4 linked regions of the Alligator mississippiensis genome follow. The main gene of each other region encodes a partner of the protein of the gene in region 2 in a complex. Links are inferred from orthologs where the notes say so. Each region holds a gene or a part of one and is shown on either strand. Other genes may lie near its edges.

Evidence for each region.
Region 1: ALYREF (region 2) and CHTOP share a complex: the UniProt entries of both Homo sapiens proteins name them as parts of the transcription/export (TREX) complex. The link is inferred for Alligator mississippiensis from reciprocal best matches to the Homo sapiens genes ALYREF and CHTOP.
Region 3: ALYREF (region 2) and THOC6 share a complex: the UniProt entries of both Homo sapiens proteins name them as parts of the transcription/export (TREX) complex. The link is inferred for Alligator mississippiensis from reciprocal best matches to the Homo sapiens genes ALYREF and THOC6.
Region 4: ALYREF (region 2) and RBM8A share a complex: the UniProt entries of both Homo sapiens proteins name them as parts of the ALYREF/THOC4-EJC-RNA complex. The link is inferred for Alligator mississippiensis from reciprocal best matches to the Homo sapiens genes ALYREF and RBM8A.

What each region holds. Positions count from the first base shown.
Region 1 is NC_081838.1:13,226,100-13,233,414, forward strand, and holds the start of CHTOP (chromatin target of PRMT1 protein), read right to left. Parts: upstream 3,016-7,315; 5' UTR 2,835-3,015; intron 2,641-2,834; exon of another isoform or gene 2,552-2,640; intron 1,938-2,551; 5' UTR 1,921-1,937; coding exon 1,856-1,920; intron 286-1,855; coding exon 132-285; intron 1-131. Other genes in the region: S100A1 (protein S100-A1), read right to left, coding at 4,836-4,979, 5,134-5,283, 5,704-5,793. UniProt on the Homo sapiens protein: Plays an important role in the ligand-dependent activation of estrogen receptor target genes. May play a role in the silencing of fetal globin genes.
Region 2 is NC_081831.1:482,870-489,862, forward strand, and holds the start of ALYREF (THO complex subunit 4), read left to right. Parts: upstream 1-3,981; 5' UTR 3,982-4,016; coding exon 4,017-4,128; intron 4,129-6,404; coding exon 6,405-6,826; intron 6,827-6,941; coding exon 6,942-6,993. Other genes in the region: NPB (neuropeptide B), read right to left, coding at 1,010-1,132, 1,201-1,488. UniProt on the Homo sapiens protein: Functions as an mRNA export adapter; component of the transcription/export (TREX) complex which is thought to couple mRNA transcription, processing and nuclear export, and specifically associates with spliced mRNA and not with unspliced pre-mRNA.
Region 3 is NC_081830.1:644,662-652,517, reverse strand, and holds the start of THOC6 (THO complex subunit 6 homolog), read left to right. Parts: upstream 1-4,851; 5' UTR 4,852-4,929; intron 4,930-5,133; 5' UTR 5,134-5,234; coding exon 5,235-5,249; intron 5,250-5,534; coding exon 5,535-5,650; intron 5,651-5,723; coding exon 5,724-5,788; intron 5,789-5,928; coding exon 5,929-6,032; intron 6,033-6,106; coding exon 6,107-6,144; intron 6,145-6,255; coding exon 6,256-6,304; intron 6,305-6,398; coding exon 6,399-6,470; intron 6,471-7,198; coding exon 7,199-7,301; intron 7,302-7,387; coding exon 7,388-7,437; intron 7,438-7,534; coding exon 7,535-7,597; intron 7,598-7,856. Other genes in the region: BICDL2 (BICD family-like cargo adapter 2), read left to right, coding at 558-719, 1,240-1,323, 1,456-1,586, 1,893-2,013, 2,174-2,308; HCFC1R1 (host cell factor C1 regulator 1), read right to left, coding at 2,931-3,036, 3,135-3,203, 4,070-4,201, 4,292-4,467. UniProt on the Homo sapiens protein: Component of the THO subcomplex of the TREX complex which is thought to couple mRNA transcription, processing and nuclear export, and which specifically associates with spliced mRNA and not with unspliced pre-mRNA.
Region 4 is NC_081838.1:17,854,035-17,861,410, forward strand, and holds the start of RBM8A (RNA-binding protein 8A), read left to right. Parts: upstream 1-4,370; 5' UTR 4,371-4,437; coding exon 4,438-4,504; intron 4,505-4,746; coding exon 4,747-4,806; intron 4,807-5,408; coding exon 5,409-5,486; intron 5,487-6,236; coding exon 6,237-6,373; intron 6,374-7,078; coding exon 7,079-7,215; intron 7,216-7,376.

The sequences.
Region 1 (7,315 bases), on a different chromosome or scaffold from region 2:
CGCGTGTCCCCCCAAAATTTTCAGTTCTCATTTTCAGGAACACCTTTTGAAATCCATCACGTCCTGAAAAGTCACCAGCTGCTGACAGGTACCACCAACTGTCTGCAGTGGAATATGACCCCCTCTCTCACCTGTTTAAGTTTCAAGGCAGCTTGGACAGAAGGTCTATTCTCCATCTGCTGGGCCAGTCTTCTGTTTCTGGCACTGGCTAGCTGCTGCTGCTGCTGCATGGTTGCCCGAATATTCACCGGCATCGGCTGTTTGTTCTTCAGCATATTAGTAAAGCTTCAAGGTCGAACAAAATGGGTGTTTAAATAAAGTTTTAATAAAAACAATTATTGGCATTTCATGGCTCTCAAGACTGGATCGCCAGATCCCATGACCTTAAGTAAGAAGTGGTACACTCAGATCATGTCATATGCGAGTTACGTATCCTTGTTTTCCATAAACGTGCAAGAATCGGAAACTTAGATATGGATAAAGTGCAGCACATTAATTTAAAAGTGATAAAGTTACTGCTTTTAAAGGTGGAAGAAGGTATGAAAAAAAACAAGCAACAAGCAGTGATGACCATGAAAGATGGGAGAAGACATTACAAAGAAACAGCAAAGCCCACTAAAGTCTGACTGCAAAGCCAAGACAACTGGTTTGGGGGAGGAGGGAGGAAGAAGGGGAGAAAACTGACTTGTTTAACTGGACGTCTCTCGTAAGTAGAGCTGGTGCTGTCACCTTGACACCAGAAAAGCAAACCTTGGGGACAACGCTTTTAAGGATGCCAGATGCCGCTATCTGAATATATTAGTTTATAGTAGGATTGCTTTTGCATTCAGGATTCATAGATGTTAGGGTCGGAAGGGACCTCAATAGATCATTGAGTCCGACCCCAGGATATTCTCTGGCATATTAAGGATCTTCCACCTTTAAAAATTATACAGGAGGGTACATACTGCCAGGAAGTAAGCTTCCTTATCAGTATGAGGTCAGGTTTCTATGGTGTTCAGAGAGCTCTACAAGATGATGAAGTTAAAACTTTACAGAATTATGGATATGGACTAGCCCAGCCACCACAGGCAGGCAGGCATGGCGCCAACTTTCTGGCTAGCCAGCCCCAAGCACTGGCCCAGATTACGTCTCACGCAGTGCTTGCTAGAACAGGAGCTGCATAAAAAATGACTTCATTTCTCCTTGGCTTAATGATATTAACACTTAATCCAAGAGTGATTTAGTAAGGAAGTGAAATGCGATTGGGAGCTTCGCTGTTAGTTCATCATATTATATTATATTGGCGAAAGCTTCATGGCAGACAGAGAGAGAGAGAGAGAGAGCAGCAGAGTATTGAACAGAGGAAATAAGAAAGCAGAGCCAAGAAATGAGAGAGATGGAGATGAAGCGAAGCGTTTGCCTCTTACAAGGTCCAAGAACATTGTTAAAGGGCCTTTGGGCTGGTTTTGTGGCCTGCTGCATGCCTCTTACAGGTGACACCACACGCGTGTCCACCTCGGACAAAGCAGCAAGCCTCCTGCAGCTCCGGTAACATGCTACCATGCTGCAGCGTCAACTATATAATGTAAAAACATGTGGAAGAAAAAGGGAGTGTGCGAGGTTTCTTTGTACAACACAGCCCACCATAGTTATGTCTCAAATTATTAACAGTTACTGACACAAGCCTCCGAAATAACTGCCCTTTTAACCTCGTGTACCACATGTGTCGAGACTTAAGACAGAGGTGCATAGCCATTACTTGTTTTTAGTTAGGTTAAAACAGGGCAGAAACCACGCTGGTTTTTGACACTGGACACAGTGACAAATTAAGTACAAATTTCTTATGAGCTGAAGTTGCTGTTGGCTTCCTCACCGCTCGTTCAGAGACATCTTGGTGGTGCTCTTTAGCACAACCTTTGGCGCCGACTGCGCAGCCATCTTCGGGGTGAGAGAATCTGGAAAGCAACGAGGGGCAGATTTAGCAGCAAGACGCAAGACCACGCGCTTGTTTCGCTACATACCTCGCCGCACGGCCACAGCCCCTTTTGCGGAGACAGCCACGAGCCCAAGAAGGGCTGGCACGAGGACGTGACAAAAACCACCCGAACGACTCGCGCTTCGCAATGCTAGAAACGCGCGTCGCCTCCTCTCAACACGCGGCCTTGCTCCCCGTAACGGATGGAGAGACTCACGATGCAGCCGATTAGCGGCACGCTTCAGCACCAGCCACGATCGTGCCCACGCGCCTGACTAACCACCGAACCCCCCACAGGCATGCGGCGGTTCCTGGATGGACGGCTGCGTCCAGGCACCGCTCCTCCATCTTCACAGGGCCGGAGGAGCCCAACGCGCCCCGTTTCAGCGCGCTCGGTGCCGCATTTCCCCTACTCGGAGACGATCTGTCTCCTAAGGCGGCTGCGGCCTGACCCGAGGTCAACTCCCACACCGGCACGTCGGGAAGACGCACGCAGCTCAGGGATTGCTGAGTCCGCCAGGTCTGAGGCAGACGGCACCTGCCAGGAGGCTCCTAAACCCGCCCGGCTGCCCCGACGGGGATCACAGCATTTACCGCTTGGACGAGTTCAGGCCTCACGAAGACGCCATCTGGCCCCGGCCCCGGGCAGGGAAGCCGGCTGCGGTCGGCGATAATCTGCAGGCTCGGCTTCCCGCGGAGCCAACCCCTCCCCCTCCAGGCGCTCGGGCCCAGCCCGCCATGGCGGGAACGGGCGCGCGGCCCGGCCCAGCCCGGCTTCTCCAGAGCTGGACACGGCGCCCCGCCGCCCCCGACAGCCCGCGCCGCAGGCCAATGGCGGCCTCCTGAGCCCTCCCGCGTGGCGCCCCGCCGCTCTCACCGAAGGAGCCGGTGGTCAGGCCTCCGGGCCGCGCTGGGGCAGGAAGCCGGGGCTGGGCTGGGCTGGGCTGGGCTGAGCAGGGCGGAGTGGGTGAGTATTTGCGGGCGGCTCCCCTCCGCCCGCTCCGGCGCCCGAGGTAAAATGGCCGCCACCGCCTCACGCTCACTGCCCCTCCCCCGCCCGCTCACCGCGTCGAGCCGGGCAAAATGGCGGCCGGAAGCCACAACGCGCAGGCGCCGTCCAGGCACCACGTGATGCTCCCCGGCGGGAGCCTCGGAAGCTGGAGTGCGCAGGTGCCGCCGGAGCGCCGCGACACGTGACACTCCCTGGCGGGAGCCTCACGGGCCGCACTGCGCAGGCGCCGCCCGGGCAGAACGTGACGCTATCCCTATGGCAAGAATTCCTAGTTTTGTGTAGGGGTGTAGGTTGTACACACGCGATCCCCACAGCACGTGACGTGCCCTCGCGGGAAGCCCCCTGAGGCACGAGACAGCTTCCCCCGCCACGTGACACTGTCCTAGAACACACGACATACTGGCGGGGAGCCCCTGACACACGTGACCGCCTTCCTTCCTCCCCTACCATGTGACGTCTGGGGGGGTGCAGAGGGAGGTGGGAATAGGCGGGGCTAAAGGAAAGTGGGCGGGGCCAGGGGAACGGGAGAGGTCTCTGAGGAATGGGCGGGGCTAAAGGAAACAGGTCGGGCCAGGAGAACGGGAGGGGTGTCTAGGGGAATGGGCGGGACTAAAGAGAAACGGGCGCGCCCGAGGAATGGGCGGGGCCAGAGGAAGGGGCGGGGCGGTGTTATCTTCTTTGAAAACAGGTGGGGGTAGGGAATGGGCGGGCGTAGGGGGAAACGGGTGGGGCCAGGAGAATGGAAGGGGTGTGTAGGGGGAATGGGCGGGGCTAAACGGAGATATGCGGGCCCGGGAATGGGCGGGGCTATGAAAATTGGAGGGGTCTCAGGCAAGGGGCGGGGCCTGGGGCGGGGTTGCGGGGCTAGGGCCTGCTGTGGCTCCGTGGTGTGAGGTCCGTCTACCTGGGGGAGACCCCGGCATTGGGCCCTAGCCTGGCTGTGGCCCAGGCAGCTGCCCCCAAGCCCATGCTCTCCTCCCTGCTGGGGCAATTCCCTCCTCTGGGAGGGGGCAGGCGGGGGGCAGTGAGGGACAGGGAAGGGTCTGGCCCCAGCTCTCCCCACTCACCTCAGACCTGCCCTGGGCCCAGCCCTGCTCCCATCAGCTCTGCTCTGCCCCAGCCTGGCCCTGGGGATTGGTGACCCTCTTTCATCTCTCACCCTTTTAAATGTCTTTTGTTTGCCTGGGAAGGATGTGTGCGTCCAAACAACACCTTTTTTTGCAACTCTTTAGTTGCTCTAATAAAAGATGTTGCCAAAGACTTCGCCTCTGTGCGCTGCCGGGCGCTTTGGCCTCCTCCCAGCCCGTGGTGCAGGTTGCTGCGCGGTGCCAATGCCTGAGCCCAGCCCAGCAGAGGGCACTCCCGACATGAGTGCGGTGCCGCTCAGCCCCAACCAGGAGGAGGCTGTTTATTCCCCGCTGGCTCCTTCCCACTGGGACGGGAAATAGGAACGAGTTCTTCCAGCCAGCGCTGGGGTGCGGCACCTGCTCCCGGCCTGAGACTGCAGTCGGCTAGGCGTCAGGTGCCCATGCTCCCACCCTTGCAGTATCTCACATTCAATCAAACGGTTTTTCCTGTGGATGAGGATGGCCCTGGGCTGACCCCCAGGATTGGTGCAGCCCAGGCAGGTGCCCACTGTGGTGCAGCATGACCATACATGGCACCTCCAGCCCCTGCTCCCTCCCCGGGGTCCCCGTGCCCCCTCCCTGGCGCACGGGAAGGGACGTGACGCAGTGGCTGGTCGGAGGCTTTAATGCACGGCTCTGCGTAGCAGGGTCTAGGCTGGCTCTGAGCCGGGAAGCTGGGGGCTGTGGGGATGGGGCAGCGAGTGCGACTCCCACGGGGCTCTGGGGCCTGGCCCTGGGCTCAAGAGTCATCCCAGAAGAAAGTGTTGCAGGCCACGGTGAGGGCAGCCACCAGCACCACGTACTCCTGGAAATCCACCTCGCCATCCCTGTCCTCATCCAGGTCCTGCATGATCTTGTCCATGGCACTCGTGTCCTTCTGCACCTGTGGCAGGGACACCCCCAGGCCGGGTTAGGGATGCCCACCCACCCCCGTGCCCTGCAGCCCATGGCAGGGGAACCCCAGGTCTTGTCCCTGACTCCCCCGTCCCCCCTGCTCTGCCCCGCGAGCTCCTGGCTGCCCTGGGAGCAGCCCCCACCTCCAGGAAGCTGCTGAGCTCGCCCTGCAGCAGGTCCTTCAGCTCCTTCTTGCTCAGCTTGTACTTGTCGCCCTCCTTGCCCGAGTACTTGTGGAAGATGGTGATCAGTGTCATCATGGCGCTTTCCAGCTGCGACTCCATCCTGCTGGCCTGGAGAGGCGCCCGAAGGGTTAAGGGGGCAGACTTTGTGGGTCTCCCAGGGGCGCTACGCTCCCCCCCTCGTGCTGCGGCTGTGGCCATGGGTCCCCTCCAGGCCACCAAGCAGCTCCTTCCCTCCTTGCCTTGGGGTAACCAGGGGCCTCATTCTGCCCTGGGGGGCAGCTGGGTGCCTGAGACTCAGGGTGCTTTGCACTGGGGTGCATGCAGCTGTGGCCGCGGGCAGGATCAGGGCCCCCCAGGGAGAGTGCAGCAGCCAGGTCTGAGCTCCTTGCTGCTCTGTCTCATCCCAGGGGCCCTGAGGAAGCGTCCCCTGGCCCCTGTACCCCATACCCCTGCTCCCCACTGCCCATCAGCTCTGGCTGGGCCCTCACCTGGGCTCTCCCTGGGCTGCACCCTGGCCCCTGGGCTCACCTGGGCTCCCTGCACCTGGGCTGCCTGCACAGCCACCTGCTCCGACAGCCGCGAATGAGCAATGTGGCTGGTCAGTGACTTTAAGTACATCAGCCCGAGCCCCCCTTCCCTGCGGGAGGATCTGATACCCGCGGTGAGACGGGCTGGCTGGCACTGCTGGCTGCGATCACCTGATTTAAAGGGACATAAATGCCCTGGGGGGCCCGTTAGTCCCCGTTGGGGCTGGTGAAGCACACGGTGCTTGCTGCCTGCATGCTTGTACCCTGTGCACATGCACATGCCCTTGTCTCTCACCCCCGGAGATGCCTCTGCACCCCCAGCTCTACTGGACGGGGGTCACTGGCATCTCCATGCGTGGAAACCCCCCCCGGCTCGGCAGCACTGTGGCCTTGTGGGGTGTGGACTCTGCACCATGCCGTGGCTAGGGTACGGGAGTCACTGCTGGTGCCAGGCCAGGACCCCCATGCCCACCACTGTCCCCTCGATGCTGGGATGGGGTGCAGACCCCAGGACCATGTCCCAGCCGGCACCAGACTGAGGGCTGGGCACACTCAGGGCACTCTGAGCCGTGCCAGACCCAGCCGGATGGGCTGTAATGCACCCGGCGAGCTGATAAGGCTCGTGCGATCGAGTGTCTCCCGCTGGACAAAGGGAGGTGGCCAGGGGGGCCCTATCGGGTGACGCATCCGAGCCCCCCCTGGCCGCCAGGCCTGTTGCGGCGCGGCCACAGAAAGGCCCCTTGTCCTGCTGAAGAATCGCTCGGTGAAAGGTTGCTGCGGTAACGCCGGAGCCGGGAAACTGGATTCCCAGGCTGGCCCGGGCTGATAAAGCCAGCGTGGTGCAGCTCCGGTTACGGCAGGGGGGCATGGCGGGGCTGCCAGCCGCACCGCATTGTGCTGCTGGATCAGCTGGTCCCGCTGGCTCCTCTCGGCCCCGCTCCCCGCCCCGCTGTGCTTGGCTGGGGGCACCGGGTGGGACCCCTGGGCCGGGGGCTGGGCAGGGGGCACTGATGGCCCCCGGCTGCAGGGAGCTAGAGGAGGGCCTGGAGCTGGGAGCGGGCTGGGGGGCCCTGCCTGGCTGTGCCCCGGTACCCCCTCCCAGCCCCGATCCTGGTCTCGATTCCAGAGCTTTGCGCAAGAGCCCGGGCGTGGCTCCACTGTTGTCCCAGATGCCGATTCAGGTGCTCATCGGGGTGCTTGTTCCAATGTCGCGGGCGGCATCTGGCCTCACTTCCGCTGCCCGGCCACTGTACAATGTGCCCTGCCCCACCCCAGAGGCAGCTGCCATTTCTGCTCCCGGGGCTGTGCTGAGCCTCGCTGGACCTCAGCGCCGGGTCCCCGGGGGTCCAGCCCCAGCAGAATCGGGTGACGCAAGGCTTCCTGTCTGCCTGCCCGGGGCCTGTCCTTGTGACTATCACACCAAGGGCAGCTGCTAGGCCCCGGGCCCTGACAATGAGTCACCAGCGCTAATCCTGGCTGCAGAGGCCCCTGGGGCACCCCTGGGAGCAGCCGGGTGCGGGGTGGGGCACCACTGAGAGAGGGCAGGGGGTGCAAGTGGAGGCCTCATGATGGCTTCAACGCCAGGCAGGATGTGGCCCCGAGTCTGCAGCTTG
Region 2 (6,993 bases):
TGGCCGGCGGCGCGCTCGGGAGTCCTGCCCCTCCCCAGGCCCGGCCCCGAGGACCTCGCGCCAGCAGCCCGGGCCCCGCCGGCGGGTGCAGCAGGAGCGGGGCCAGCGGGCAGGACGGCCGGCGGGGGAGCCGCGGGCCCCGAGTTGCAGCCGCGCCTGCGGGTAAGTTCCCGGTGCTGCCTCTCCCGCCACGGCCCGGGCCCCTCGCCCCGCTTCGCCGGGCTCCCCCGGTGCGGCCCCGCCCAGCCGGCAGCGCGGCCCGACGGGGCGTCCCGCGGAGCGGGCCCAGGACGCCCGGAGCCGCCCGCCCTCCCGCCCAGCGGCCCGGGGCGGGGGCAGGGGCAGTGGCCCGCGGGTGCTGGCCGGGGCGGGGCGGCGGCCGCCTGCCCGGGCTCGGCTCCATCCCCGGCGCCGCCGGCACCCGGCACTAACGCGGGGCTGCGGCTGCGAGCTGGTCCCTGCCTCCCGCGCTGGGCCGCCTGGCGCTCCGGGGCCCGGGGGGGGACTCCCCGCTCCCGGCTCAGCCGGCGACCCGCGGCTCGGGGCCGCCCGTTGCCGCTCTGGGCTCTTCCGCCGCTGCCCGGTGCGGCCCGTCCGGGCTCCGCGTCCGTGCGGCAGCCGGGGGCACCGACCCCGAGCCGGTGGGCTCGGCCCGGGTCTCGGCGCGCCGCCTCCGCCCGGGTGGGCGCTGTCCGGGCCCGGGCGGCCGGCGGGGGAGCGCGCAGCGGCCGGGCTCTGCGGGACGACGGGTCTGGCGGGGCTCTGCCGCCGCTCACCGCACCCGGAGCGGGCACGGGGCTGGGGCCTCCCGGCGGAGCGCACCGGGGCCGCCGGCGGGGTTGGGGGGGCTTCCCCAGCTCCCCGTCCTGGCCCGGCCCGGCCCGGCCCGGCCCCCCTCCCAGCCCGCTCCCCGCCCGAGCGACGGCGCGAGCACACGGGAGGTTCAAGCGCGTTTATTGAGGTGCGGCGGGCGGCGGCGGCGGGCGGGGCGGGCGGTCCGGCGCGGGGCTCAGGCGCAGGCCGCGGGGTCCAGCGCCACGGTGACGTCCGCCTTGCAGTGCAGCGTGCCGGGGGCGCCGGGCAGCAGCTGGCAGCTCCGCAGCTCGGGGGCCACGTCCTTCACGCACAGCGCCTGCGGGGAGAGCCGCCGTGAGCGCGGAGCCGCCCGCCCGCCGCCGCCCGCCCCGTCCGGGCACTCACCATGGCGCGCAGCGCGGCGGGCGGGCGGGGCGCGGCGCCCGGCAGGTCGGGCAGCAGCAGCGCGGGGCCGCCCTCCGGCCCCGGCCCCGGCCCAGCCTCCGCCTCCGGCTCGGGCTCGGGCTCGGCGCGGCGGCTGTAGGGCGAGCGGCGGATGCCGGACAGCAGCCCCGAGGCGCGGCCCACGGAGTAGTAGTTTGGGCCGGCCGCCTGCTTGTACCACGCGCCGGCCGGGCCGGCCAGCAGCGCGGCCAGCGCCAGGCTCAGCGCCAGCGCCCGGGCTCCGCGCATCGTGCAGCGGCGGCAGCAGCGGCGGCTCCCGCCCCGTCTCGGCTCCTTATAGCGGGCGCGGGGGGCGGGCCCGCAGCCTCCGCCCCCCGCCCGCTCGGGAGGAGCTGGGGCGCCCGAGGGGACGGGGCAGCTCGAGCCGCTCCCGCCGCCCCCCGCCCGGCTCCGTGCCGGGGCTGCTGCCGGCTGCGGCGCCCGCCCCCGCGGGCAGCCCCGCTCCCGGCACGGGCGGAGCAGGGCCCGGACGGGACGGGGCACCTCCCGCCGGTTACCGGCCCGCGGAGGGGTGCACGGGCCTGGGCCGGACTTCGCGGGCTTTGATAGGGCGTCAGGGCACCTTCAAGCCTCCCCGAGGCGCTGGGTCCTGCTGCAGCCGGGGCTGGCCCGTGCCATTGCTCCTGCTGGGACCAACCCCGCAAGGTCCTGGCTAGAGGGGCTTGCAACGGGACTCCCCGCCCTACCAGCTGTGGTTTGCCTTCCTCTGCAGTCGGGGCACAGTCTCTGCCCGGGTCCCTGGAGCATCTATGAAGCCCCTTTGACAGCAGGACCATGGCTGCTGCACCCCCCTGCTTCCTCTGAGGGGGCTCAGGTGCGATGGTGTCAGGGCAGTTTAGGTGATCGTTTGCCTGGCCTGGTTTGGACAGGGCTGATCCTGCCTCAGGCAGGGGCCGGACTAGGCGCCAGGCTCTAGGATTCTCTGTAGCTGCATCCTGCTGCCTGCCCCCAGCGCCCCCTCCCAGCAAACCCAGGAAGAGCCCCACCCCTAGGGCTCATCACAGACCTGCTCCTTGGTTCACCTCCCCTCCCTTCGTCCCTGAAATGTCCTGTACTCACTGCTCCCAGGGGCTGGACCCATGGAAGAGCATCGCTCCCCTGGGCGACAGGACCCCTCGTCAGCCCCACAGCCCAGGACAGGGGTCCCTGCTGCGCTATTCTCCTGCCCCCCCAAGGCTCCATCATGCAGCTGGAGGTGGTCTGCCTGGCAGGGATAGCTGGGGCACTGCCAAGGATGAAGCAGGGAGCACAGGTGGTTCGCGGGACGTGGGCAGTCAGCTCAGCTAGCGTGGGGACGGGCATCACTGCCAAGGCAGGGCCACAGGTCGCATCCTGCCACCTGGCTGCACATCCAGGAAGAGTCCTTGTCAACAGCATGGACTCAGTCGCCCCCTCGGTGTCTGTGGGTGGGCAGCCGCCTTCACAAGAGCTCCCCTGGGCCCACAACAGTAAGGAGCAGCAAGAACCATGAATCACAGCCCAGGGTTTATTGAAACCAATCCACGTACCAACACGTCGCAGCTGGAAATTAGCCGATGCTGCTGCTGCTTGGAGGCTGCCTGAAAGGAGCAGGTCTCATCAGGCCGGCGGCCGAGACTCAGAGAGCGCAGGATGCTGCTGCTGAGGAGCGTGCCCGGCCTGCAGCCCCTGACCCTCCAGGTCATGGCAGCATTGGCGCTCTTGCTAACGCTCAGAGCCAACAGCCTCCCACGGCTGCTAACATGTGGGAGCAGCCTGCTTGGATGCAGAGTGACAAGCAGCACCAGCAAACCTTCAGCAGCTGAGAGGACGCAAGAGCATTTGATCAAGGGAACAGGACATGGGATGCCCACACATGGAGGCACAGGAGGAACAGCCTGAGGCAGCTACTAGAGCCCTCCCAGAGGCCAGAGAAAGGTGGAGTCAGGCCAGGCCTTAGAGGGCTTTTCAGGGCACAGGCAGGGGACAGGTTCAGCTAAACTCACTCGGCCTCCTGGCACGTTTGAACAAGATGTTTCTGTCTGGGTCCGGGCAGAGCTGAGCCAGCAGTAGCAGCGCCTAAAACGTCAGGCACAGGGGTGTCCATGTTCAGTGCCCAAACAAGGACTCACATATTCGTGGAGACACTGATGGCTGCCACGGGAAGGGCAATATGGGATCCACCTTGTCCTGCTGCCCTTTCACCCAGGTGAATGGGGGCTGCACAGACCCTGTAGGCACAAGGCACAGGGCAGAGGAAAAGCCGACCAGCTCGGGCTGCACGGAGGGAAGAGGTGCTGTGTGGATGCGACTGCCACGGTTGGGGTCCTCGCACGAACGTTGGGAACATGTTAGACATGTAGCCACATCCGCACTGCTCACGGCAGCCGGGAGCTGCTCTGCGTCTGCGGGAAGTCAGAGTGTGTTGGGGCCTGGCCTGCGCCTGCTTGGTGTCCCTGCGAGTGCCTGGCACACGCGCGATGCCACACCAACGCTTTGCTGCTCCAGGCCGCAGGGAGAGGGAACCCGGAGGCCGAACTGCAGCCCAGGGCGCCGTCACTCCTTGAACTTCCACTCCTGCCGGCACATGGGGCAGTGCTGCTGCACCTGCTGCGAGTTCAGCCACTTGAGGATGCAGTGCATGTGGAAGCAGTGCGAGCACTGGCCCCACACCAAGGGGCAGTCATCGCCGGGCACCTTACCTAGGAGGCAAGGACAGCGGTCAGCAGGGAGCGAGCGCTTGGGGGCAGGGGCCGGGGAGCGGCGACTCACAGTCCGGGCAGCAGCCGTTGAAGGCCATGCGGCAGATGCCGCAGTTCTCGTCATTGGCCACCCACAGCCAGGACGCCACCCCGTTCCAGCTCTTGATCTTCACCTTCATGGCGCCGTGCACGGCCGGCTCCCGGGCGCCTGGCAGGGGCGGCACGGGGTCAGGGCCCAGCTCAGGCACCGCCACCACGTGCTGCCCCCCGGTCACATCTGCCCCCCTCAACCACGTGCTGCCCCCCCCCCCGGACTTTATCTGCCCCCAACACCCCCCGCGACCATGTGCTGCCCCCCCTGTCATATCTGCCCCCTCAACACCCCCCGCGACCACGTGCTGCCCCCCCCCGTCACATCTGCCCCCCTCAACCATGTGCTGCCCCCCCCCCCGGGACTTTATCTGCCCCCCCACCACATGCTGCCCCCCCCGACTTTATCTGCCCCAACACCCCCTGCAACCACGTGCTGCCCCCCCATCACATCTGCCCCCCTCAACCACGTGCTGCCCCCCCCGGGACTTTATCTGCCCCCCCCCACCACATGCTGCCCCCCCCGACTTTATCTGCCCCAACACCCCCTGCAACCACGTGCTGCCCCCCCATCACATCTGCCCCCCTCAACCACGTGCTGCCCCCCGACTTTATCTGCCCCCCTCAACACCCCCCGTGACCACATGCTGCCTCCCCGTCACATCTGCCCCCAACACCCCCCGCGACCACGTGCTGCCCCCCCCGTCACATCTGCCCCCCTCAACCATGTGCTGCCCCCCCCCCGGGACTTTATCTGCCCCCCCCCCGTCACATCTGCCCCCCTCAACCACATGCTGCCCCCCCCCCGGACTTTATCTGCCCCCTCAACACCCCCCCGCAACCACGTGCTGCCCCCCCCATCACATCTGCCCCCCTCAACCACGTGCTGCCCCCCCCCCGGACTTTATCTGCCCCCCTCAACACCCCCGTGACCACATGCTGCCCCCCCCGTCACATCTGCCCCCTCAACACCCCCCGTGATCATGTGCTGCCCCCCCCCGTCACATCTGCCCCAACACCCCCCGCGACCACGTGCTGCCCCCCCCCCCCCCCGGTCACATCTGCCCCCTCAACACCCCCCGCGACCATGTGCTGCCCCCCCAGTCACATCTGCCCCCCAACACCCCCCGTGACCACATGCTGCCCCCCCCGTCACATCTGCCCCCAACACCCCCCGCGACCACGTGCTGCCCCCCCCCGTCACATCTGCCCCCCTCAACCATGTGCTGCCCCCCCCCCCCGGGACTTTATCTGCCCCCCCACCACATGCTGCCCCCCCCGACTTTATCTGCCCCAACACCCCCTGCAACCACGTGCTGCCCCCCCATCACATCTGCCCCCCTCAACCACGTGCTGCCCCCCCCGGGACTTTATCTGCCCCCCCCCCACCACATGCTGCCCCCCCCGACTTTATCTGCCCCAACACCCCCTGCAACCACGTGCTGCCCCCCCATCACATCTGCCCCCCTCAACCACGTGCTGCCCCCCGACTTTATCTGCCCCCCTCAACACCCCCCGTGACCACATGCTGCCCCCCCGTCACATCTGCCCCCAACACCCCCCGCGACCACGTGCTGCCCCCCCCGTCACATCTGCCCCCCTCAACCATGTGCTGCCCCCCCCCGGGACTTTATCTGCCCCCCCCCCCGTCACATCTGCCCCCCTCAACCACATGCTGCCCCCCCCCCCGGACTTTATCTGCCCCCCTCAACACCCCCGCGACCACATGCTGCCCCCCCGTCACATCTGCCCCCTCAACACCCCCGTGATCATGTGCTGCCCCCCCCCGTCACATCTGCCCCCTCAACACCCCCCCGCGACCACGTGCTGCCCCCCCCCCCCCCCGGTCACATCTGCCCCCTCAACACCCCCCGCGACCATGTGCTGCCCCCCCAGTCACATCTGCCCCCCAACACCCCCCGTGACCACATGCTGCCCCCCCGTCACATCTGCCCCCAACACCCCCCGCGACCACGTGCTGCCCCCCCCCCCCGTCACATCTGCCCCCCTCAACCATGTGCTGCCCCCCCTCCGGGACTTTATCTGCCCCCCCCCGTCACATCTGCCCCCCTCAACCACATGCTGCCCCCCCCCCCCCCCGGACTTTATCTGCCCCCTCAACACCCCCCCGCAACCACGTGCTGCCCCCATCACATCTGCCCCCCTCAACCACGTGCTGCCCCCCCCCCGGACTTTATCTGCCCCCCTCAACACCCCCGCGACCACATGCTGCCCCCCCCGTCACATCTGCCCCCTCAACACCCCCCGCGACCATGTGCTGCCCCCCCCGGTCACATCTGCCCCCTCAACACCCCCCGCGACCACGTGCTGCCCCCCCCCGTGGTCACATCTGCCCCCCACAGCCCCCCCTGGGGCTACACCTGCCCCCAGTACCCGCGGGGCGGAGGAGACGGGCGGTGGCGGCCCCGCCCCGCTCACGTGCTCTCCCCCGCGCGCGCACCGTCCCCGGAAGTGGCGGCCCCATAAAGCCCCGCGCGGGCGGCCTTCGCCCTCGCCCCGCCCCTTCCGCTTCCGGCGTGGGCGCAGCGCGGCCGGAAGTGCAGGCCCGGAGCGGAGCCGCCATCATGGCCGACAAGATGGACATGTCCCTGGACGACATCATCAAGCTGAACCGCAGCCAGCGCGGGGCCGGGCGCGCCGGCGGCCGCGGGGGCCGGGGCCGGGGCGGCGCGGCCCGCGGGGGGGGCCCCGGCCGGGGCGGCCTGGGGGCCGGGCGGGCCGGCGGCGGCCCCCTGCGGAACCGGCCGCTCATGGCCCGCGGCGGCGGCAGGAACCGGCCCGCGCCCTACAGCCGGGTACGCGGGGGCGGGGCGGGGGGCGGCCGGGCCGCGGGGGCCGCCTGGCTGGCCGGGCCGGGCGGTGCTCGGGTCCCCGCGGCCGCGGGCGCTGAGCCCGCCTGTCCCCTTGCAGCCCAAGCAGCTCCCCGAGAAGTGGCAGCACGACCTGTTCGACAGCGGCTTCG
Region 3 (7,856 bases), on a different chromosome or scaffold from region 2:
CCTAAAACCAACCAAACCCAAGGGCTTGTTTGGCCTTGAGGAACCTAGAACCCAACTGTCTTGGTCTTGGGAGCCACCAAAGAACCTGATAGACCTAGAACTCACCCACCCTGGGTTTGTTGGGTCTTGAGGAACCTAGAACCCAACCCCTCTGATCTTGGTAGCAACCAAAGGCCACTAGGCCTGGATTGACCTAGAACCCACCCTGTGGTTGTGAAACTTAGAACCCAATGCCCTTGATCTGGGTAGCAGCCAAAGGGCATCAGCCTTCATGGACCTAGAACATATGCCTTATGGGGGTTAAACAGAGATTATCTGGGAAACCATTAGCCTTCAGGAACCTAGAACCCACCTGTCCTGAGGTTGAACACAGGTGACTTGATGTCTGTTGGGACTGGAGAACCTAGAACCCACTCCCTTTTGTCTCGGTAGCCATCAAAAAGTCATTATGCCTTGACCTACAACCCACCCATTCTGGGGTGGAATACAGGTTACTTGGGGTCTGGTGCCCTGAAGGAACCTAGAACCCACCCCCTCTACCTTGACCCTCCCCATAGGCTGAATCATTGAGGGCAGAGGCGGAGGAGCTGCGTGGGGCAAACCGACGGCTCCGGCGCCGAATCCGGGCTGTCTCCGAGGAGCTGCAGTTCCAGTCAGCCGATAATGGCGTCTCCCTGAAGGCCGAGCTGGAGGGGACCCAGGGCCCCGAGCATCCCAAGGTGCAGGGACAAGGCCAAGGGTGGGGTTTGGGACCTAGAACCTGACCACCATTGGGTCTTTTAGCCTTGTGCGACCCAGAACCTTCTGCCCATCGGGTTTTTGGCCAGGAAAGACCTAACATCCTCTCACCATTGGCTCTTTAGGTGTTGATGGAACCCATTTGCCATTGGGCCTTTAGGCCTTGGTGAACCTAGAACCCCCCCAAATTGGGGTTTCTGAGTCTTGAAGAGCCTAGAACCCGTCAAGGATTGAGTTTTCTAAGCTTTGAGGGACCTAGAACCCACCCACCGCTGGGTCCTTTAGCCTCAAGGGACCTAGAACACTCCCACCATTGGGCCTTTAGGCTTTGAGGGACCTAGAACCCACCTACCCAGAGTCACCTGGCCTTGATGTACCTAGAACCCACCCAGCCAACCTTGTCCTTTGGCTCAGCCAATGTTGGGAGGGTTTTGGCCTCCATCAGGCCAATCCCACGAGGCCGCCAGGTTCTAGCCCCGCCCCCTCGCTGTACCCCCACAGGCTCCGGCACGGGACAGGTCTGAGGCGCTGCCCCAGGATGCACTGGAGGAGAAGGAAGTGGAGATCGAGCGGCTCCAAGATGAGGTGGGGGGGGTGTGGGGAAGGTAGGCGGTGTCATGGACATCTGGGTGGGGGGAACAGGGCCAGGAGGGGGAGGGTAAGACTGGCCCTGGCCCCACCCCCGCCCCTGGCTGACTCCACCTCCTCCCGTCCCAGCTGGCTGTGCAGCAGGGGGTGCTGCAGGCGGTACGGGAGGAGCTGGGGGCACAGCGGCGCCTCCTGCAGGAGAGGGACGGGGATGCGGCACTGAGGCAGGCACTGGCCCAACGCAACACTGCCATCGACAGGTCTGGCCCCGCCCCCCACAGACACCTGGTTCTCTGGGGTGGGACTAGTGGTTTGGGAGCCAGACAGCTGGGTTTTCCGTGGTGGGAGCAGGGGGGCTGGGAGCCTGGACACGTGGGTTCTCTGCAGTGCACGTAGGAGAACTAGGGGGTTTGGGAGCCTGGACACCCAGGTTCTTTAGGGTGGGGAGTGCGAGCAGGGGGGGCTGGGAGGCCAGATGCCTGGGTTCTCTGGGAAATGGGGGGGGGGACTAGGGGATTTAGGAGCCCAGACACCTGTGTTCCCCACCCTCTTCGCCTCCCCCACAGGCAGGGGGTGCTGGCGGAGACGCTGGAGCGGGTGACGCGGGAGCGCGATGCCCTGAGCCGCCAGGTCCTGGCTGCCGCCCACCAGAAGTGGGCGCTGTCCCGGGAGCTGGAGGCCTGGCAGGTAAATCGTGCGTGTCCCGCGGGCCTTTCCTGGGGGTCTCAGGGGCACCCGGAGGCCTGGGCTACCTCCCCAGGCAGGAGGGGGGCACCCTTAGGTGGGGCATGGGGAAGGGGGGGCTTGGATGCCTGGGTCCCCACCCACTGTGGCCCCTCCCCCCCAGGACGACATGCAGTTTGTGATTCACCGGCAGCTCCAGGCCCAGTGGCAGCAGGAGGCCGGGGCCCCGCCCCCTGTGCGCCGCGGCAACAGCGCCCCCCATGGCGGCCACTTCCTGTCCTTCTTCCGTCGCAGCTGACAGGCCAGGGAGCCGATAGGAGCCGGGAGCTGGGGCGCTGAAGGTTCACTTCGGCCTAACCCGTGGGCTCACTGCCCTCACTCTAGGCCTGGCTTTGGCCTGCCAGTGCCTCTGGGTCTCTTTCCCATACCAATGTTCTAGGTCCACCATGGGTTCTAGGTCACTCAATGCCCACTCTAGGCCTGGCTTTGGCTTCAGTGCCTGTACGCTAGGCCTGGGTTTGGCCTACCACACTCTCCCTCCCGTAAGCCTCTGGGTCGCATCTCTCTCTTGGTGGCTCACTATGATGTTCTAGGTGTTTCTACCATGGGTTCTAGGTCACTCAAGGCTCACTCTATACTTGGCTTTGGCCTATGTCTCACCTACAAGCCCCTCCCTCTGCTCCTGGGCCGGACGCCTGGGTTCCCTGGGAGGGGAGTGGGGCCTGGGTTCCCTCCCGTGTACATGCTCTGTGCCTCCGTTTCCCTCAATTCAATTAAAACCATCTTTATTCCCAATTTGCGCCCATTTCTCCTCCCCACCCCCCACCCCCAAGGCCTCCGATTGGCTAACATAATTTCCCCCATGCCATGCCCGATGCTGTACATACCCCCCCACCTCCACAGCACTGTCTGGAGGAAGCTCACAGCGCTGTAGCTTTGGGGGTCAAAGCCCCGGCCTGGAGCAGGGCCCAGATGCCGCGGGGGTCCTGGCTGCTGGGGGGGCTCCATAGCACCGCCTCTGTGGTCCTGTGGGGGGGGGGGAGCAGGGCAGCAGATTAGGAGGTTCTGGGGCAGTAAGGGGGGAGAGGGGTAATTAAACCCTCCAGCTGGAGGTAGGTACTCACAGGGCCATGGGGAACTCCCCGTCTAGGATCACAGTCTCCTCTTCCTCCTCCAGGGTGGCATCCTGGGGCCTGGAGTGGGGGGGGAGATGCGGCTGAGTCTGGTGTGTCATGGCCAAGCGTAATGAACAGAGACCTCTTCTCCCAGCCCCGGTATGCGAGATGCAGCTGAGTCTGGGGCGTGATGGCCAAGTGGAATGAATGGGGATCTAGCTCCCCCTCTTCCTCTACAGGATGCAGCTGAGTCTGGGGTGTAACAGCCCAGGAGAACAAACAGAGATCTGCCCTCACTCTAGCTATAGGCTGAGTCGGGCATAACCGCCACGAGGAACAACTAGAGAACTCTTTTCCTAACCCCTCTCCCCCCACTACGTGAGATGCAGCTGCAGCTGGGGTGTGACAGCCAAGTGGAACGAATGGGGATCGAGCTTCCCCTCCTCTTCCTCTTTAGGATGCAAATAAGTCTGGGGTGTAATGGCCCAGGGGAACAAACAGAGATCTCCCCTCACCCAATGGAAATGGGATGCAACTCAGTCTGGGGTGTAACAGCCAAGTGGACAGATAGGAATCTACCACCCCCTCCCCTTTTTGTATAGGATGTGGCTGAGTCTGGGGTGGCATGGCCCAGGGGAACGAATAAAGATCTTCCTTCCCTCACCCTATGTAAATGAGGTGCAGTTGAGTCTGGCGTGAAGCGGCCAAATGGAACAGAGAACTCTTTCCCTGCCCCCCCCTCCCCCCATGACATGCAGCTGAGTCTGGAGACTAACAGCCCAGGTGAATGGAGATCTCCCTTCTCCCTACGTATATGGGATGCGGCTGTGCCTGGGGTGTGACAGCCGAGCGGAACAAAGGGGCATCTCTGTCCTGCCCCGTGCCCCCTTCCCCCCGCCCTGTGATGCAGCTGAGTCTGGGGCAACACCTGGGGGGCCTCTCACCCACGCGGCAGGGGGCGGGGCCAGCGGGACGGGAAGCCGTTGCTGCCGTAGGCGTGGTCGTGGTCCAGGCTGAGGGTGTTGAAGCGAGCGGCCATCTTGTCCTCCGACAGGAAGTGCTTCCGGGTTGGCTCCCTGTGGTGACAAAGGCGGGAGGGCAGGTGAAGGCTCCCAGCATGCTTCGCTCCCGCCTTCCCACAGTGCCTTGCTCCCCCCCATACTCACGGCTCCTGCTTCTCGAGGCGCCGCTTGCAGGCCAGGGCAGCAGGGCGGGGCGTGGGTCGGCGGGGCAGTGCCGCGGCGGAGAAGCTCACCACCACTGGGGCCCGCCCCGCCCAGGGCATGCGGGCGGGGACTTCCTGGCTCCAGCAGCGGGGTTGGGGCAGGGCCGGGGGGTCCATCGGGGGGGCATTACCTGATTGGAGGAGGGAAAAGAGAGTCAGGCCAAGGAACTCCCATCATGCATTGTGGTTGGGGCGCCTCTGGAGCTGAATCATGCCAACTCCTGACTTCCCATGATGCCCTGGGGCCACTCAGGCCAAGCCCAGGCGCTCCCATGAACCCCCGGGGCTGAGCCACACCAACTGGAAGCTTCCCATGATGCCCTGGGGCAGTTCAGACCAAGCCTAAGCCCTCCCATGATCCTCTGGCTGGAGAGAGAATGAAGTGCAGGGGTGCTGAGGACAAAAGGGGTGTGGCCAAGTGACAAGGGGCAGGGCCTACCGCAGAGCACAGAGCGAGCATGCGCAGAACAGTCGGGCAGCAGGTGAAGTTCCGTTCTGCGCGTGCGCAGAGGCGAAGGCAGGTGGTGGAAAAGGAGGGGGAACCACTCCCGCCGGGCTCATGCGCAGAGCCCCGGGACCGTGAGCCTGCTCGCGGGGGGGGATGACAGTTGGGCTCGCGGGAAGTGGCGGGGAGGCGGGGCGCATGCGCACTGGGCACTCGCGGGTCTTATTTCGTGCTGTCGGGGCCTGAAGCCGGGAGGGGTGAGGTGGGGCCTTACCGGGTTCCGTTCCCCACGCTGCGCCTCCAGGGTCCCCCCCTTCTTCCCTTCCTTCTGACGTCAGGGTCGCGCGGCCTGCTGGGAGTAGGCGAAGGGGGAGGGGACCCAATCTGGCGCCGGCGTCGCGCGGATAACGTCATAGAGGCGCGACGCGGCGGCACGCTTATGGCGCCCCAGGAGGTGAGCGACAAAGAGCGTGGGGGCGCCCGGGGCGGCTCCCAGCATGCACCGCGCGGGTCCTGCCAAGCCCTGGGAGGTGTGAACCCAGCATGCACCCTCCCAGCATGCTTTGCTCCCTGTCCTGCCAACCCTGGGGTCTCCCAGCATGCCTTGTGCCCCCCCCATGCCAACCTGAGGCTTTCCCAGCCTCCCTTGCTCCGCACCTGGCCAGCCCGGGCATCTCCCAGCATGCCTAGCTCCCCTCCTCCCTCCCCCGCCTTCCCATCATGCCGTGCTGCCCCCCAGATGGACGTCCAGCGGGCCTTGGAGCTGCTCCACATGAGCGTCTTCTCCCAGAGCGTCTCGCCCTGCGGGAAGTACCTGGCAGCCGGCAACAGCTACGGGGAGATCGGCATCTTCAGGTACCCCAACCTGCCCCCAGCCCGCCCCGCGGGCACGCCCCCCAGCTCCCCTAACTGCCCTGTGCCCCCCCAGCCTGTCGGCGGCGCTGAGCGCGGAGGCCAAAGAGGAGAGCAAGAAGCCGGTGGTGTGTTTCACAGGTGGGTGTGAGGGGAGCGGCTCCCCACAATGCCCCGGGGCTGCTCACGCCAACCCGGCTCCTCCCCACAATGCCCCGGGGCTGCTTGTGCCAACCTGGGCCTTCCCACAATGCCCTGGGCCTGCCCCTCCCGCCCCGCAGCCCACGATGGTCCCGTCTACGCGCTGACCTCCACGGACCGGCAGCTCCTCAGCGCCAGCGACGGGGAACTCAAGGCCTGGAACTGGGCGGAGATCGTTAAGAAGGTAAGCCCCGCCCCTAGCCCCGCCCCTGATGCCCGGGTCCCCTGCGCTTCATCCCCCTCCACGTGTCCCCCCAGGGCTGCAAGGAAGCATGGAGCCGCCGGCCCCCTTATAGGTAAGCCCCACCCCAAGTGGGAGCGGCTTCACATTGGCCAGTGGGAAGAGAGCAAGAGGGCATGGCCTCCCCATGTGGCCACACCCCTTCTTTCCCCACATTTGCTTCCAGGAGTAGCCTGGAGGTGCCTGAAATCAACAGCCTGCAGTTGAACCTCAAGGTGAGTGTGGCCCTGGGCATTGTGGGATAGCCAGGGGGAGGGGCTAGCCTCCAAGCCCCGCCCCCTCCTGCCTGTGTCTCCTCTTCTCCAACAGGATAACAGCCTTCTGCTGGCTGGGGGCGACTGCACCGTGCACGCCATGGACCTGGAGACAGGGGTCTTCACCGTGAGTGGGGGCAGGGCTCTCGGCCATCCGTTCATCCCTCCGTCCATCCCCACAGACCTCCGTCCATCGCTAGGCCTTTCCCTCTTTCTGTGCGCGTGTCTACTGTTGGACTTCTTTGTTCATATCACCATACTTCTCCGTCCATCCATCCTTTCGTCTGTCACTAGAGTCCTGCATCTCCAGACTCATCCATCCCGCACTACACCCTCCCCATTCCATCTACTTGCTTGCCACCCGGCTTCATCCATCCGCCCATCACTGGCCTCCTCCATCTGTTCGCTGTTCGTCCATCCAGTCTGTCACTAGATCTCTCTATTCATTCCTGTCTCCATCCGCTCACCACTAGACTTTTCCATCCATTTCTTCGTGCGTTCATCGCTGGATTTCTCCGTCTGTCCTTCCATCCCTCACTAGACCCTCTCCATCTGTCCACCCATCCGCATATCACCAGACTTCTTCATCCCTCTTTCCTTCTTTCCACCCATCGCTAATCTTGTCTGTTTGTCCGTTCTTCATCTCTCCCCGTATACGTTCGCCTCTACATTTATCTGTCGCTAGATCTCCCCATCCATCCATCCATAGGCTCTCCCATCTGTTTCTTCATCTATCTGTCATTACATTTCTCCACCAATCCATCTGTAACTAGACTCATCCATCCACCCCTAGACCCACCTATCCATCCATCCCTAGATCCCGTCCCGCTCACCCGCTCTCCCCCACCTTCCCAGCATGCCCTGCGGGGCCACACCGACTACATCCACTGCCTGGCACTGAGGGACCAGTTCCACGAGTGCCTCTCGGGCAGCGAGGACGGGTCTGTCCGTCACTGGGGTAAGTCCCGCCCCTTTCCCCACCCCTGCCCCGCCTTTGCTGAGACCCTGCAGGGCTCGTGACACCCACTCCCCACCACCCCGCAGATCTCCGCACCGGGGGGCAGGTACAAGCCATCGAGGTGCACAAGTATGAGGTGAGAACCCAGACATCCGGGCTGCCAGCACCCCTGCTGGGGAACCCAGGTGTCCAGGCTCTGACCTGGCCTTCTCTGCCTCTTCCCCCACCCCCAGGAGTGCAGCCGGCCCCAGTATGGGAAGTGGATCCGTTGCCTGGCGACAGACTCCGATTGGATGGTGAGAGGGCAGGGGAGACCTTTGGAGCGAGGGTATCCCATAGTGCCTTGGGTTTAGCTGTGGTGGCCAAAGCAGGGTATCCCAGAATGCTTTGCTTGCAAGCATGGCTGCCTACAGTGATATACCCTAACAAGGTTGGGCAAGGTACCCCATAACGTCCTAGGACCCAGGCATGGCTGACTGCGGGAATATTCCACAATGCCTTGGGTCCCCATCATGGCTGATCACTGGAATATCCCACAGTGTCTTGCTACCAATC
Region 4 (7,376 bases), on a different chromosome or scaffold from region 2:
TAAAACTAGAAAGCTGATGCCATACGGAGCTGCACAGGATTATATTCTGAGTAGTAACCACTTCCTGGTGCCATGTGAAAATGAAGTCAGGCCATCTTTTGAAATAAATACACTCGAACAGTCAGTTTTCTGTGCTCAAAGGCCAAGTTGCGTTAATGAGACAGCTCTGTGGTAGAAGCAGCATATAAAAATGCAACAAACAGTAGCTTGTTTATGGAGCAATGCATGTGCATTCTCCTCTGTGCAGTGACTCTTCCTCGGGCAAGTAAGATATCATTAGTTTTGTATGGGCTACTGAACTCTCATGGCAGTTGTGTGAGTAGGCTTTAAATAGAGCCTCCTCAACAGCCTGTGACTCCCTCTTCTGAGACTCAAATGCTAGTTCAGTCTTTGTTTAGCAAGGGCTTGAATCAGGCAGACTCTTAGCATCTGCCTGTGCCAGCACTCCCAGCTGGGGGAAGATATCAGACCACACTACATGCCCTTTTTCTCCTTGCAAAAATACGATTCCCTGGGTAGGACCAGTTCAGCTTCATTATAAATGAGCATCTGACACTTTGTTCCTCTTGTTTTAATTAAAACAGATCTTGGAACCTCATGAGTCTCAAGGGATGGATCAGCAGCCAGGAGATCCCCACGGCTCCAGTGCTGTTAATAGCCTAGCTCTCGGCATCCAAAGTCCCTTCCAATTTTCCCAGCATAGAGTCTGAATCAAAAACCAGAGCAAGATAAATTGCCTTTCACGCACTGCCACCACATCTTCCATTGTATGTCCAAGTTCAGTACAACACGTGCATTTTGTATGTATAATTTTTATACAATAAAACACTAGATTTTTTGGGTAGTTTGTCTTTTTTCTTCCTTTCCTAATGAGAGATGCAGGACTGATGATCTGTTCAGTGTGCTGTTGGCTCTGATGTGCTGCTATCCCTCGTAACAAAACGTACGAGTGTCTGTTGCTTTCACAAAAACCCCTGGATAGCTGGTGTCAAAATTGGCACCTCCCTGCTTGAAATATAGGTGTGCCATGGCGGGTATGAAAAGCTGCTTAGTTTCTGGTCTGTTACTCCGGGGTTTAGGCAGGCTGGCCTGAACTGAACCTGTCTGTGCTGATGGCATGCCTTTTCTTTGCTAACCCCTGCAGGAGCCTTCCTGTACCTGAAAAGGGAACTGAAATGGAGAAACCACCTGTGCTGATGGAGAAAACACCTGCCCATGTGGTGCTACCCTCACTCAGCCCTAAGCTGCTTCTCTGCTGCTGTTTATGGCCTCTCCTGGGGGAACTAGCTGTTTGATGCATCACAAACCTGAGAACAATGCCTCCCTCCACCCCTTCTCTCCCTAAGAATTACCACAGTTGCCTGCAAATTAGTCCCTGCTGGTCCCAGCATCTGGTTATATCAGACAGGATTTATTGACCCATCTTTTGCAGCATAGCCCTGCTGATGTTGCACAAATTCTGCCTTGCTGCCTTAACTAATGTGGGGGGGAGGCAAGGGTGAGGATCAGATCTTGCACTGTTCCTCCCAATACTCCTTTTAAAAGGCTTTTCAGCATGGGAAGGCTAATAACAGTATTGCCTTTGGGTGAATGTGCTGTCTCTCCTTAAACTGTTATGAAAAGCGGAGCTACCAGCTCTTGGAGGTGGGGAAGGCAACAGTTGCTTTGTAGCATGCTGACTGGCAGGTCTTTAAGGAAAGAAATAGGTCTCTTCCCTCTTCGTTGCGGAAGGGGAGATGAAGACGTCGCGTACTGTACACAGTTTGAATGGACAAGAACAGGAACAGCTGCACCGGCCGGATGTTTGTAGAACCAAATTTCCCATTAGCGGAAGCCCGTTATAATCCTCTTCAGCTGAGCACGGAGCTAGCTGAAAATAACAGTTTGGTCCTGCTGTTCACGCTTGCTCCTGCACTGGTAGCTCCCATCGGACCATCTCCCAGATTGTAGGAAAGGTGGGGAAGCTGAGGCACAGAAATAAAGGAATAATCTTGTCAACTGAGGCAGAAGCAGAGCACTCGTGAGAGATTCTGCTGCCTTGAATTTGGGAAACCAGCAGAGACTCCTGAGAGGGGAAGAGTGAAATTCTGGCCTGACTTGGAAGGAATAAGGATGCAGTGGTGGAAAAGGAGATGGCTGTGCTCATGGGTACCGGTGACTGAGTACAGCTGTAGCAGCATCTGCTTATAAAGGGGGCTGGAAGGCATTATGAAGAGCCAGATTGGGGGGTGGGGGGGGTGTAAGCTGTTTTCTTTTCAGGTCATACCTGCTCTGCACTTTGCCTCATGTTTCACACTCTAGCTGTAACTCCTTCGCTCCAAGGCCTGCGGGAAGGACATGTGCAGAAGACGCTATACAGAATAAAATGGTGTCATTCTTTTTTTTCTTCTTTTTCGGGGGTGGGCAGGACGAAATGCCTATTTCACGTGCCTGCCTGCTGACTAGAAGAACATGAAGAGCTGCTCCAAGTGAGAGACACAGTTTCCACCCTTTTCAAAAAATAAAATGAGAAGGAACATAAAGTTTTGTTCTTCCACCTAGCATGACTTCTTTTAAAATCTTGAAGTGGGGGGGGAATGGCACTGGGCTGTTTCACTAGCAAACACAGCATCTTGCGCACGCAAAGCAGTTGCTGTCCAAAACCACTTGGCATCCATAAGCTCCTTGAGAAATTATTGCCGCTTGGCAGTTCCCCCCGCATATTTTATAGCTACGACGAGATCTCCATGCTTCTCCATTTGGAAAAGAGCTTAAAAAAAACCCAACCCATTCTGACTAAGGCTAAAGTAACATACTGGATGCCATAGTATAGATGGCGATTTCTACCCCCAGCAAATAGGGGTGAGGATGTTGTCTTTGGATGAGTGTTGGCTGGCTCAGGTGAAATGGGTTTGTGGGGTCTCACTAAACAGGTGCCCCTACAACGAAACCGGTAGGCAAGGAGGAAGGAACAACCTTCCTACTTGATCTAGCTGGGGATGGAGCTGCTTGGAGCAGGAGGTTGGATTAGATGTGACCTCCTGAGGTCTAACCCCCATTTTCTACGATCCGACAAGTAGTGGTGATCCCTGTCCAGGAAGACTGCTTGTGTAGGGGGATCATCCAGGACCAGCCTGTTCAAGGGAAGCTTTCCTTGATAGCACCACGACTGCCAACCCTCCTCGCTGGACGGGGAGAAGCTGCCGGAGTTATGTTAAGGATCCTCTCTTCGATCCCGGTCCAACCGTGCTGTTTTCTGGGTGTCGGGAGGGGGTGGCAACTTCGTGCTGCCCTCCTCAATGTGGGTTTTTGTCCATCCCCAAGCCCCGGCTCCTGGAGCCTGGATTACTTGATTCATCTTCCTTCCCTTAGACCAGTGCTTCTCCACCTGGCACCTGTTCTCGTCCGGGCACCTCGCTACGCCCATTGCACTCGCTCAGCGTTGTGCGAGGAGCGAGCTTTGCAACCATCGTCTCTGCCAGCTGAGATGCAGACCTGCCGAACCCGCCTGGTTTCACGAAACATCGCTTGGAGAGGCCGCAGAGATCTCCTGCCACCTTTGGGGGGAAAGGAGTGAGATCTCTGTGCTGCGACGGTGGAAAAGTCACAGGGCTGAGTCCCGTCTTGCACAATTGTCTGCACTGACTGTCACGTCTGCCTCCCGCGGGGGCATTGGGGAACCGGGCGGCTCACCAGCGCTTATCCTCTCCTCTCCCCTCGTTAGACGCCAAGCCCCCTCAGAAAGTGCCGTCTCTGCTTTCACTTGTTTTTTCAACTACAGAGAAACCCTCAAGTGAATCCAAGATTGGGGGACAGACCCAGGCCTCCTATTGGAGATCTCCAGCTGTGTCCTAGGACGCGCCTAACTGTGCGAACGGTGATGTGGCGCCCCCAGCCCGGCTGAGACTCGCCGCCTTGGGGCACCACTAGAACGCTGGGCTCCCTTTGCTCAGGGGACTCTGGGGGCACCAAGGGGCTCCCCTGAGGTGGTGCTTTCTTAAAGGAGCCTCATGTTTAGGGCCAACCCCAGTAGGGGGGGCAGCTTGTTGTCTAATAGGGGCTAATCCCCCCCATTGGAGGGTGCAGGCCAGGTCCTGAGGGGTGCAGCCAGAGCCTGGCACCCTGCCGTGCCTGTGGCTGGGCTGTCTCAGGCAGGGAGGGGAACCCACCACTAAGGGAGACAAAAAGGCCTAAACTGGGCCCTGAGTGGTTGCTATGGAGACCCCAAGATGGCGCCCGCCGCCAGCCTGACGCCCTTCTCCAAATGGCGGCGCTCGCCACCTAGCAGCGTCGTTGCGTCATCACGCTTCTCCCCTGCCTCATTCCCTTCTCAAGATGGAGGCCCCTAGCAGGGGTTTCCTGTCCATAGGGTGAGGACACTTCCGCCCTGCTTCCCGGCATGCCTTGCAGCACCGGGGCAACTTCTGGTCGGCAGCGGTGGCGGCGGAGCGCGGCAAGATGGCGGACGTGTTGGATCTGCACGAGGCGGGCGGCGAGGACTTCGCCATGGACGAGGATGGTGACGGTACCGCGGGGTGACCCGGATGTCCCCCCCCCCCCTCTGGCCGGTCCCCCCCGGTTCCGGGTCCCATCGGGCCTCCCCCGCCCCCCGGCCTGGGGCTGGCCTAGTCCCGGTTCTGGGTCCCGCTTCAAGCCTTTTCCCGCCGGTTCTGGCCCCGCCCCGCCCCGCCCCGCCCGGTCTCCTGCCCGCGGGGCTCGGTTTGGTTCTCTCCGGCCCCCGCGCTGACCGCCCGGTCTTGCCCGCAGAAAGCATCCACAAGCTGAAGGAGAAGGCCAAGAAGCGCAAAGGCAGAGGCTTCGGCTCAGGTAAGGACGTGGCTGCAACCCCCGCGGCTCTGTCCGTCTGCGCGCGGGGATCCCAGTGCTCCCAGAGCCTCCAGTGCAGCCTCCAGACTGGTGTCCGCTTGTTGCTGGCAGGGCAGAGCGGGGGAGGGGCCGGGGGTGTTGCGATGCCTGGGGCCTTTCAGCTGTGAGCAGATCCCTCTGTCTCCCGCGTCCGGCTGTCCAGACCCTTCCCTACCTGCAGCAAACGTGCGCAGGGTACTCGGTTGTCTGCCCCGCGGCCCTTGGTCCTGCTTGGAGCAGGGGGTTTCCCGGTCGTTAGGGGCTGGAAGGGACCTTACAGATCGGGTCCAGCCCCCCTGCACGTGGGCAGCGAAGACCGCTGGGATCAGATGACCTCAGGGTTGGACTAGATGTGATCTCCTGAGGTCTCTTCCCGCCCTTATTTTCTATGATCCTATGAATACATGTTTGTCTGCATCACTACTGTTACAGGCTCTTTGGGGTAGGGTGTCTGAAAACCGGTGTCTACAAGCTCGGGTGTCTGGTGGTGGGGTGGTCGCGCAGGAAACCGTCACTAGTTGTCTGAAATGATCCACGTTTTGCTTTTCTCCCCCTGTGCCCAGAGGAAGGCTCCAGGGCCCGAGTGCGTGAGGACTATGACAGCGTGGAGCAGGACGGGGACGAGCCGGGGCCTCAGAGATGTGAGTACAGCTGGGGATTTGTTCTGGGGTCTTTGGTGGGTGAAGTGTCACACGAGGTTGCTTTAAGGAAGGGCGGAGCCAAGTCTTTCATTGAAGTGGGGTCCGGTGGGTAAAATGCTGGATAGGGACCAAGGGACTGCTGGGGTTATTTTACCCCAGCAGTCTTTTCTGCCCAGAGCAGGGGGGCTAGACCTGATGATCTCACAAGGTCCCTTTCAGCGCTGAACTTCTGTGAATCTGAGATGTGGGTTTTATTCGCAGTGCTGCCACTGGCTGGTTCTGTGACCCTAGTGTCTCAGCTTCCTCCCTTGTAAAGTTGTGAAAGATAAGAAGCATTCTCTGAGAGCCAGGTATCGCTGCTGTCACCATTGATACAACCACACACAGAGCAACTTGTCTGTGCTCGTGGGGTGTTGGGATTGTTCTAGGTTAGGATTCAGGTTCATTGCAGGGGTCTGGGGGGCAGAAACTTTTCCTGCTGCTCTGCAGCCATCCTCATTAAGGAGTAAATGAAGAACTGCTGTTGCCAGGGGCATCGAGCACCTGCATTCACTACCCCTCCATTCCTCCTCCCATAGCTCCACTCCAGAGTCTTCAGGCCAATAGGAGATTACAAGCTACCCAGGCTGAGATGTGGTGGGAGTAGGGATGTCCTTCCTTGGTGTGGCTGTGAAGCTGTGCACGTGCAAGTTCACTAGGGCTCTCAGACCAGGCATCTGGGTAATGAGCGCTGCTTCCCTTTGCCCGCAGCGGTGGAGGGCTGGATTCTCTTCGTCACGGGAGTCCACGAGGAAGCCACAGAAGAGGACATTCACGACAAATTTGCTGAGTATGGCGAGATCAAGAACATCCACTTGAACCTGGACAGGCGGACGGGCTACCTGAAGGTAGGGGGCTGGTAGGGAGAGGGCTGGCTGGGGTCTCTAGACAGGTGTGGTCACGTCTTTGCCCTGCCACAGACTCTGTATCTGTGCCACATAGTTTAATCTCTGTGCTTCAGGTTCTTGCCTGTATGATGTGGGGGCGGTGGGCCTTTGAGGTGCACAGCTTCCTCGGACACGGAGGCCAAAGCTGCACTTAAACGGGCAGCTGCCCCTTAATGTTTCATACAAATGATCTGGGCAGGGTGAGGAGACTGTGTGTGAGCACAGGGATGCCGGGGTTCTGATCTCAGCCTGAGGTGCGGTGGGTGCTGCTGGTAACAGCAAGGGACTCCTGGCTTCTTTCATGGGATCCCTGTGAGATCCCTATGGTTTCACAGCTGAATCCCAGATGGGATCATATCACAGAGAAGTGCTAGGGAGGCTTCATACTAAGAAAGAGCCTTGAAGAGGGGTTGGGTACTAATATGGATCCCTGTCCCCCACCTCTCTGGGAAGCTCCTGGTTCAAGTGAGCAGTTCAGTTCAGGGCAATAGCTGGAAGGGCAGGGCAGGGCAGCAGCCTTGCCTTTCAGGCTTGTATTCCTGACACTGGTGAACAAGTGGAGAGGGGTTGTGGGAATTGGAAGCCCAGGGGTCTACTGCTGGGAGCCAAGGTGAGCGTGGAGTGAGGGTGACTGGGTGCTGATGCCACTGTCCTTGCCTCCTGCAGGGATACACACTTGTTGAGTATGAGACCTACAAGGAGGCTCAGGCGGCCATGGAAGGGCTGAACGGGCAGGAGCTGATGGGGCAGCCCATTAGCGTGGACTGGTGCTTTGTTCGGGGACCACCCAAAGGGAAGAGAAGGTGAGAAGGGGCCACATCCTGGCAGGGGATCAAGTTGCCCAGCAGGAGCCAAATGGGTCCAGGATTGTCTCTGGAGCAGGGAGCACACACTCAATGGGATAGATCAGGTCTCTGCCTCTCTCGCTTGGACCTGAGTCCGGGCACAGTTCGTCTGTGTCCTT